Linked DNA regions of Saccharomyces cerevisiae S288C. The gene in region 1 interacts genetically with each later gene. Each region holds a gene or a part of one and is shown on either strand. Other genes may lie near its edges.

Evidence for each region. Genes that interact genetically often act in the same process or in processes that back each other up.
Region 2: mutations in RMT2 (region 1) and FIT3 together harm fitness more than expected from each alone (negative genetic interaction), as found in Saccharomyces cerevisiae (2 studies listed by BioGRID).

The regions. Positions count from the first base shown.
Region 1 is NC_001136.10:1,391,297-1,397,275, forward strand, and holds RMT2 (protein-arginine N5-methyltransferase), read right to left. Parts: upstream 3,279-5,979; coding exon 2,040-3,278; downstream 1-2,039. Other genes in the region: SPP41 (Spp41p), read left to right, coding at 1-1,883; protein kinase PKH3, read left to right, coding at 3,825-5,979. UniProt on the Saccharomyces cerevisiae protein: S-adenosyl-L-methionine-dependent protein-arginine N-methyltransferase that methylates the delta-nitrogen atom of arginine residues to form N5-methylarginine (type IV) in target proteins. Monomethylates ribosomal protein L12 (RPL12A/RPL12B) at 'Arg-67'.
Region 2 is NC_001147.6:1,059,941-1,062,833, forward strand, and holds FIT3 (Fit3p), read right to left. Parts: upstream 1,116-2,893; coding exon 501-1,115; downstream 1-500. Other genes in the region: FIT2 (Fit2p), read left to right, coding at 1-52; FRE5 (putative ferric-chelate reductase), read left to right, coding at 1,624-2,893. UniProt on the Saccharomyces cerevisiae protein: Involved in the uptake of non-siderophore and siderophore sources of iron. Has a role in the retention of iron in the cell wall and periplasmic space.

The DNA.
Region 1 (5,979 bases):
CTAGAAGAAAGAAAATACCAAATATCAAAAAGTATAGAAAGAGAACCAATAATTCTTTTCGTGTCTCCAAAGAAGGTACGGCAAGTACTAGGAACAGAATTTTACCGGCCATATTACTACCGATAATAAATACATTAAAAGCTGCTGCAAAATCGCAAACAGCTGCTGGCGCCACACCTGAGGAGGCAAGGAAACGGCTGGCAACCATTATTCAACATGCCAAGTCTACAGTTATTAGGGCAGCTTTACAAGCAAGGAAAAACAGTATGCAAGCCGCTCATTCTAAGGGAACTACCACAGAACTGGCAACAACTGCGTCTCGAATGAAGAATCCGCTGAAAATGATTCCTATTTTCAATACATCTCGAGTGAAACAACAATTAGACAAACAATTACCGGCCAGAAGTGCAGGAACAGAAATCAGCAGCTCTGAATCCCCTGATAAAGCCACGCCCGATCCCCACTCTAATTCTACAATCGCTGGGCATACTTTAAAGGGCGTTACTACGCCAATTAAAATAGAAGACAGCGATGCGAATGTTCCTCCTGTTAGTATAGCGGTTTCAACTATAGAACCATCACAAGATAAACTAGAACTTACGAAGAGGGCAGAGAGCGTAGAACCTGTGGAAAATAATGTTGAAACAGCGAAAGAAACCCAAAGCGTACAAGAAATTAAGGAGAATGTCGGTACCAAGGCTTCTGAGGAAGTTACTCTAACTGAAGACAAGACAAATGGGGATCCAAAAAATGAAAAGAGGATATTAATTGAATCTCCTGTCGAAAAAACGGATAAAAAGAAGCCAGGTGAGAAAATTGCTACAGATTTGAATGAAGATGCGAGCCTGTCTGATAAGAAAGATGGAGATGAAAAGTCTACATTGCATTCTGATGCAGCCCAACTTACGGGTAATGAACCAGACAGTGTAAACACGACAACAGGAAAGCCCAAATTAATTGATGTTTCTCTCAAACCGTTAAATGAAGCAAAACCAAAAATTCCCATCATATTTCCCTTAAAAAGACCGCAAATTAAGCCTGAAGTTAGCGTTATTAATTTAGTTCAAAATTTGGTAAATACCAAAATACCCGAAATAAAGAATGAATCCGTTGATTTGGGAAGTAATATCACCGACATTCTTTCCTCTACTATCACTAATATTCTGCCCGAAATCACAGCCACTGATGTTAAAAACTACCAGTATGAAGATGAAAACGTAAAATACCTGAAAAAAACACCAAGACAGGTTTTGAATTTGGATGGACTAGTGCCTCCATCGGGTAGATGTATTACCAAAGCTAAACGTGTCCGCCGCATTAAAAAGCTTTCTGCTGACGCCACTACCGCACCGGAAGCCGATGGAAAGGCAAACAGCGAATCCATTACTTACACATTCGATATACCATCTCCAGAAGAGGTACAAAGTAAGCGTAGTGTAGTCCTAAAATTTGCCAAGGCTAGATTGACCGAGGCGGAGTTGAGTTGTCTAAAGAAGGAGATTAACAATGTGAGGAAACGGAGATGGAGAGAGATGAACTCCACCAAGAACTGGGAATATGACGTAAAGTCTAGATTAAAAAAGCGTGCGAACGCATTTTTTGGGGAAGGAGAATCAGAAACGAAGTCTAAATGGATCGAAGAAAGATTTCAAGAAAAGGTAAGTCAAGAAAAGTACAAGGATCGCCTTGAAACTACTGAGACGCAAGCAAACAACACGAAGATTGTGATTGACGACAAGGAGATTTTGAATATTCTTGCGGTAAACATGAATAACCTTAACAAAGCACGCTGTATTGAAAAAGATATTCAAGAGTCGTTCAGGGAGGAGAAGTTAGCCTCTTTACAACCAAAGAAGAAGAGAAAGAAAAGCATTTTACACTGAGGTGTTACTAGACATAATTTAGTTCATATGTCCATTTCTGCATAATCATATATACTTAAAGTAGCAAATGTATATAGTTTTTTCTTCCGATTTTCGAAACTAATATTAGTATTGGAAATCGGCCCCTGCCATTGTGCAATTTACATTATTCTATAATTAAGCAAACGTGATACGTGGATGGTAATAATAGTTACAGTTAAAGTAAGACCGCTTAACATCATTCCAATCTGGCAATTGCTCGTCAAGAGAATATCTGGTGTAATCGCATTTCATACCATATGTAGCAACATCGATCTCAACAATTTCTTTATATACATCGTAACACAACGATCTGTCAGCGCCTAATCCGTTGAAAAATGAGAAAACGCCTTCTGGTTTAATTAAACCTACCACGACATCGTATAAGTCCAATATGTCTTGGTAGTGCTCGCTAAATGTATCATAATAAATACCATCAAAGAAAACTTCACCTTTGTCTAATAAATTATTCAACGTATCTTGCCATCTTCCCTCTAAAATAACCACATTATCCTTTTCATACCAACCATCCATTTTCATCTTGGCCAAAACATCTGGATGAGCTTCGCAAATATAGTGACGATATGGTTTTCGAGCTTGGATGAATGTATCGATGATCCCCATTCCAAATCCAATGTTTAAGATCGTAGCAGAATTAGTGGCCTCTGGATCAGGAAATAAGGTTTCGGAAGCAAGTTCCATAATCTTGGTTTCCCAATCCATCATAACACCGTCCTTATTTTCCTTTGTGATAAGCGCATCGTCTTTGTACTCTAGTTCTGTTTTTAAGTACACTTGTTGATTTGCCGCGGTAGCATCGTCATCACTACCAACTGATTCTTCTTTTTGACCATCAACTGCTGTTTGAACGCTTTCCTCAGGCTCGATACCTATTAGTTCATCTGTATCCAAGAATTCGACGTCGCCACCATTGAGTTTTCTCAGTAATAATTCAGCAGACACACCAGCTTCCACGAGCCGTCTATAAAGAGGGCTCTCCCTACTTTGATTTCTCTCTAAAAACAAATCACCCACTGTTTTGTCCTCGTAGTCAATAAAATTCCATCCAGCCCCATACTCAAAAAGAATATTCATCATATCCATCACCACTTGCAGTTCCTCATCCTTGATATCCAAGGGTAGCGATCTTGCTAAAACGTGTAACGGCGTTGTGTTTGAGGTTTTATTGTCGTCAGTGCTCTCTCTGAATTCCTTATCCCCGTTCCTGTTCTTTTCCTCATGCTCGAAGGCTGCGACCTGCTCCAAAGTATATGTAGCCGGTATACCAGATTTTAAGAAATGCTGCAGTTTTGGTACATAGTAACTTTGAGAAATGGGCCTCTCTGGGAAAGTAAGCAAAGCATGTAATTCTGACATACTTGAATATATTAAAAGTCCTTGGTGTAAACACCTAGCCGTTGCAACTGCTGGGTATTGTCAATGTCATTTTGCTTTACGCTTAGCTTAAAATGAGATGAGATGAGCTTTGAAAAATTTTAGAAAAAGAAAGGTGCCATCGATTCTCGCCGAAAAAGGAAAAGAATCGTTATAATCCTTCGAATCCTATATACACTAAACAAATATCTGCATTGGTCAACCCCAAGCACACGTACTGATGACTAGAGATGATACTGAAAGTGTTAACAATATAACTTCCTTACTCGCAGCTAATGTCACATATTGAGGTAACAATGGATCGAAACAATTTTCATGCTTACCCGCGCGGTGATTTCTTGGTAGCGAAGGGGTTTTCATGAAGGCAGCAGAAGAGAGGTACATTGATTTGAAAGTGTGAGGAAACAGAATAATAGTGCCTAAAGCCTAACCCAAGCAAGTAAGCAGTTCTTCCACGTCTTATCTATTCAGAGGCTGAAACAATTGAGTGAAAATTTAAAGAGTAGGTGTGGGACATTGGTATGACATATGACGTCTAGGAAAAGGTCTCCGCACGATTTCATATTTAAAGAGGAACTGGGCCATGGCTCTTACTCTACTGTGTTTAAAGCTCTAGATAAAAAAAGCCCGAATAAAATTTATGCCATTAAAGTTTGTTCGAAGAAACACATAATCAAAGAAGCTAAGGTAAAATATGTCACCATTGAAAAGAATACCATGAATTTGTTGGCACAAAAGCATCACGCGGGTATAATCAAACTATACTATACTTTTCACGATGAGGAAAATCTTTATTTTGTTTTGGATTTTGCCCCAGGTGGAGAACTACTTTCCTTATTGCACAAAATGGGTACTTTCAATGATATATGGACGCGTCATTTCACTGCACAGTTAATTGATGCATTAGAATTTATCCATTCACATGGCATCATTCATAGAGACTTAAAACCGGAAAACGTCCTTTTAGACAGGGATGGTAGACTTATGATTACTGATTTTGGGGCCGCTGCCACCATAGACCCTAGTTTAAGCGGAGATTCGGCCAAGTTTAACTCTGACAGCAACGGCTCAAAAGACAACCAAAATTGCGCTTCCTTTGTTGGTACTGCCGAATATGTCTCTCCAGAGCTGCTTTTATACAACCAATGCGGTTATGGCTCAGATATATGGGCACTAGGTTGCATGATATATCAGTTTGTCCAAGGACAACCGCCGTTTAGAGGGGAGAATGAGCTGAAGACATTTGAAAAAATCGTAGCATTAGATTATCCATGGGGACCCAATAACCGCATCAATAATAGCACATCACCAATAAATCCCCTTGTAATAAACTTAGTACAAAAAATATTGGTGATAGAGGTCAATGAGAGAATCTCTCTCGAACAGATAAAAAGACACCCATATTTTTCAAAAGTAGATTGGAATGATAAAATCAAAATATGGAGAGGAATCTGGCAATCACAAGGACAATCGCTGCAACAAACTACTTTGGGACTCCCAAATATACCGCAGAATATACTACCCACCAGACAATTACATGTAATTGACACTCCAGCACGAAGTATACAAATCACAAAACAAAAACGTAAGAAACCAACGAAAATTTCCAACACTACTAGTAGCATAGTAGTATGGAGAAAAAGGCTTGGTATATCAACAGGTAAGGATGATTTAGGCACCGTACCGTCCACTACGCCTGCAGTGACCGCCCCTAATGATACCAATGTATTAACAAATACGGCGGCACATTCTACTGCAAATATTGCCTTACCGCCTAATTCACAATCCAATCAAGTCAAGCGAGCACAACTAGTTGCACCAAATAGAATACCTCCCAAAGTACCGGTAATTAATGACAACGTGAGAAATAAGTCAATTCCGCGCACAAAGCCTAATGTGCCACCTTTGCAAACATCATCAATACCACAAAAGTTGTCAACATCGTCAGCATCGTCAGCTCTATCGGCGCCGTCAACAGAGATAAGGAACCAGGACTTAACACACACTTTAGATGGAAGAAACTCAATTGATATTCATGTTTTAAAACAAGACTACGTCTTCATTTATGGCATTCCATATGAACACGAAGGGCCTGCTATGTCTTTGAACAGCTACAATAAGATCGATAATGATTTAATTACGTCACTAGTTGCGCAGCATAAAGAAGAATTAAAAAACTCAGAGTCGTTTTTACAGGTATTGACTTTGAAGAAGAGCGGAATGTTAAGTTACAAAAACACAGTTATGGAGGGAAATGATGATCAAGAAAACAAAGAACACCAGATGGCTAATATAGAAGATACAGACTTGTCCATGTACGATTTTGAATTCAATGAGTTGACAAGGAAGGGTTTTTTAATCCTGGAAAAATATAAGAATAGAATATGGTTTATCTCGCTACCTTCATATTCAACGTTATCCAAAATACCATTCAATGCCGTGAAGTCTTCGACAATAAATAACAATGAAAATTGGGTCGATTGCTTTTTCAGAGCAAGACAACTACTAGAAGAAAAGCAAATTCTTGATAAAATCAGTAACGTTTCCTTTGATAGTAAGGCATCGAGTGAACCATCATCACCTCCGCCTATTTCAAGAAAAGAGCGGCCTCTGAGTATAGGAAATAATGTAACAACACTCAGCTATACTGCAAAAAATGGAAGCCAGAACAATGCACCACAAA
Region 2 (2,893 bases), on another chromosome or scaffold:
AGGAGCAAGTGTCGGTGCATTGGCCCTTGGTTTGATTTCTTACCTATTATAAGCTCGGTTTCAAACCAGAAAAAAGCTATTAGTTATCGTGTATAGCATATTTATAACTTATCTATGAAAAGCTAATATAATTGTCTTTCTCCTTCAAAAGGCTAGTAAAAAGGACTTTTTTTCATTACGTTTCTCAGTGACTTCAATGTAGCAGTTTTTCGTTTCATCATCATCATCGTATTATTATTATTGTTATTATTATTATTATCATTACTTTTATTAATATTAACTATTTTTTTAGTATGATTTCGGGTATATTTATTTTAATTAGATACTTTTAACCGTTTCAAACAATTAAAGGAAGACCAACGAACTTGAAACAGTATATATACATACATACTTAATGTGTGTTATTAAAATTTTTTTATTCTAACATAACTTCGAAAAAAGGCCAAGCCGCAAGGTGCTTCATAAAAATCGGATATCCCGCATGATTATTCACATATCATTTACAATAACATGACGGCAGCAAGGGCAGCACCCATCAAACCAGTACCAGCGGTGATGGCATCAGCAGCACCGGTGTAACTAGATAATTCAGCGGTGCTAGAGGATGTAGCAGAGGAAGAAGTTTCAGCAGTGGTGGTTGCAGTGGTTGAAGCAGAAGAGGTAGCAGCTTCTGAGCTGGTAGAAGTACTACTTGGAGACCAGGTGTTGCTGCTGCCTTCACCAGTCCAGACAAAAGTAGCATCTTGGGTGACAGTCTTAGTGTAGACGTGACCGTTCTTGGTGGCAGTGATAGTGGTAGTGATACTAGAACCAGAACCTTCATCAGCAGAAGAAGTCTCAGCAGCAGAAGAAGTCTCAGCAGCAGAAGTGGTAGCGGCAGCAGAAGTGGTAGCGGCAGCAGAGGTTTCGGCGGCAGAAGTTTCGGCGGCAGAAGATTCAGCGGCAGAAGTGCTGCTGGCGTAAGAGTCTTCACCACCCCAAACAAAAGTAGCATCTTGGGTGACAGTCTTAGTGTAGACATGACCGTTCTTGGTGGCAGTGATGGTGGTGGTGATACTCTCAGCAAGAGCAGTAGCGGCAACAGCAGATAGAACCAAAGCGGAAGAGAATTTCATTTTAGGGATTATTGTTATTAGTTATTTTTAAGCGAGTGGAAGTACTTGTTTGTATCTGTTCGAACATTCATATTACCTCCTAATACTTCAAATAGTTCTTGGCTTAAATACCCCATAAATCAACTTTTACAAAAAAAAAAATAACAAATCTCGAACGATAATTGAACCCCATTTTTTTGCACCCTTTCCTAGAATGGCGGAACTCGGCTCTTGAGCCCTTAGATTGCTTTCCTTCACATACATCAAAAAATATGGGATAGCGGGGTGCGGAACAAACAGGGTGCAAAAAAAAATCTAGGACATAGGTAGGACTAAGAAGACTGTGGCATTACTACACAGCAATCATATTTTACCGCTTCCTCGTTTAATTGGATTTTTACTTTTCATTACATTAGCGATCATTAAAAAAGGAGCGTCAATTTTTTACTTGGCAAATGTGTAATGTAGCGTTTTCGGTATGTCACATCACCAATTTTGTCGCAGTTAATTTAATTCACCCAGATTTCGAATGCTTTTCGCTAGATTAGTGCTGCTGTTGGTGTATTTGGCACCAGGTTCTTTAGCAAAACCAGCATCAACTAAGAAAAGAACGCAATGGGACCAGATAGCAATTGATGCTTGTGCTAAAGAATTGGAATCACACAAATTTGACACGGATGTGAAGGGTCGGCACGCTACTCTTTGCACTTATGAACCAGCACTAGGGTCTTGGTTACATTGCGCGAAGGATGTTCTCGACAGTAGGAAGAAAAGTAAAAAAATATTCGAAAAAACGTTTAGCAAAATTAATCAGTATTGCCACGATTATCACAAAGATGAGGTCGTCAGCAATGAGGAGTATTATCGAATTTTTGCCAATGCATCCCTTTTCATCCGGCCTCTTGATGAGGTAAAGGAAAACATACGATATCCCGTCACTCCCAATAAAGCCTCTCTAGATAGGTGGGTATGGGCTTATTTTGGGCCCCTGGATAATATAGACAAAGGAAATGTTTATGGAGTGACGATTTGCTTATACTGGATAGGAGTTCTGTTTATTGCAGCTGTATATCACTTCTTGAACTTTTCTCGACTTAAACAAACGGTGTTCAAAAACAAGGTGTCTGCTTTCTTAAGAGGCCACTATGTTCTTCCAGCGCTTGTTCATAACCATGCTATGTCAGTGGGAAGGTGGTTTTTCATCGGTCTGGTCCCTACCAGGTTAGAGACCCTTGTCCTATTCGGTTACGTTTTGTTGCACGGGTTCTTGTTGAGTAGTTACAATTTTGACCATAATGAGTTGCTCAGTGATCGCAGAAGCCAAGTGCTTATCTTCCTTTCCGACAGGGCAGGGATCCTGGCATTCGCACATTTTCCTTTGATAGTTCTCTTTGGCGGTAAAAACAGCACAATGACTTGGCTCACAGGTATAAGATATACCGCATTCATTACTTACCACAAATGGTTAGGAAGATTCATGTTAGTAGACTGTACGATCCATGCAATAGGATACACCTACCATGCATACATAGAAAATTACTGGAAATACGTGAAGTATAGTGATCTATGGACATCCGGAAGACATGCCATGATCATTGTTGGAATACTTGTGTTTTTTTCGTTCTTCTTCTTTAGACGACATTATTACGAATTGTTTGTTATTACGCACATTATCTTAGCAATAGGATTTTTCCATGCGTGCTGGAAACATTGCTATAAACTTGGATGGGGTGAATGGATAATGGCGTGTGCACTGTTTTGGATTGCTGACCGTATTCTGCGGCTAATAAAGATTGCAA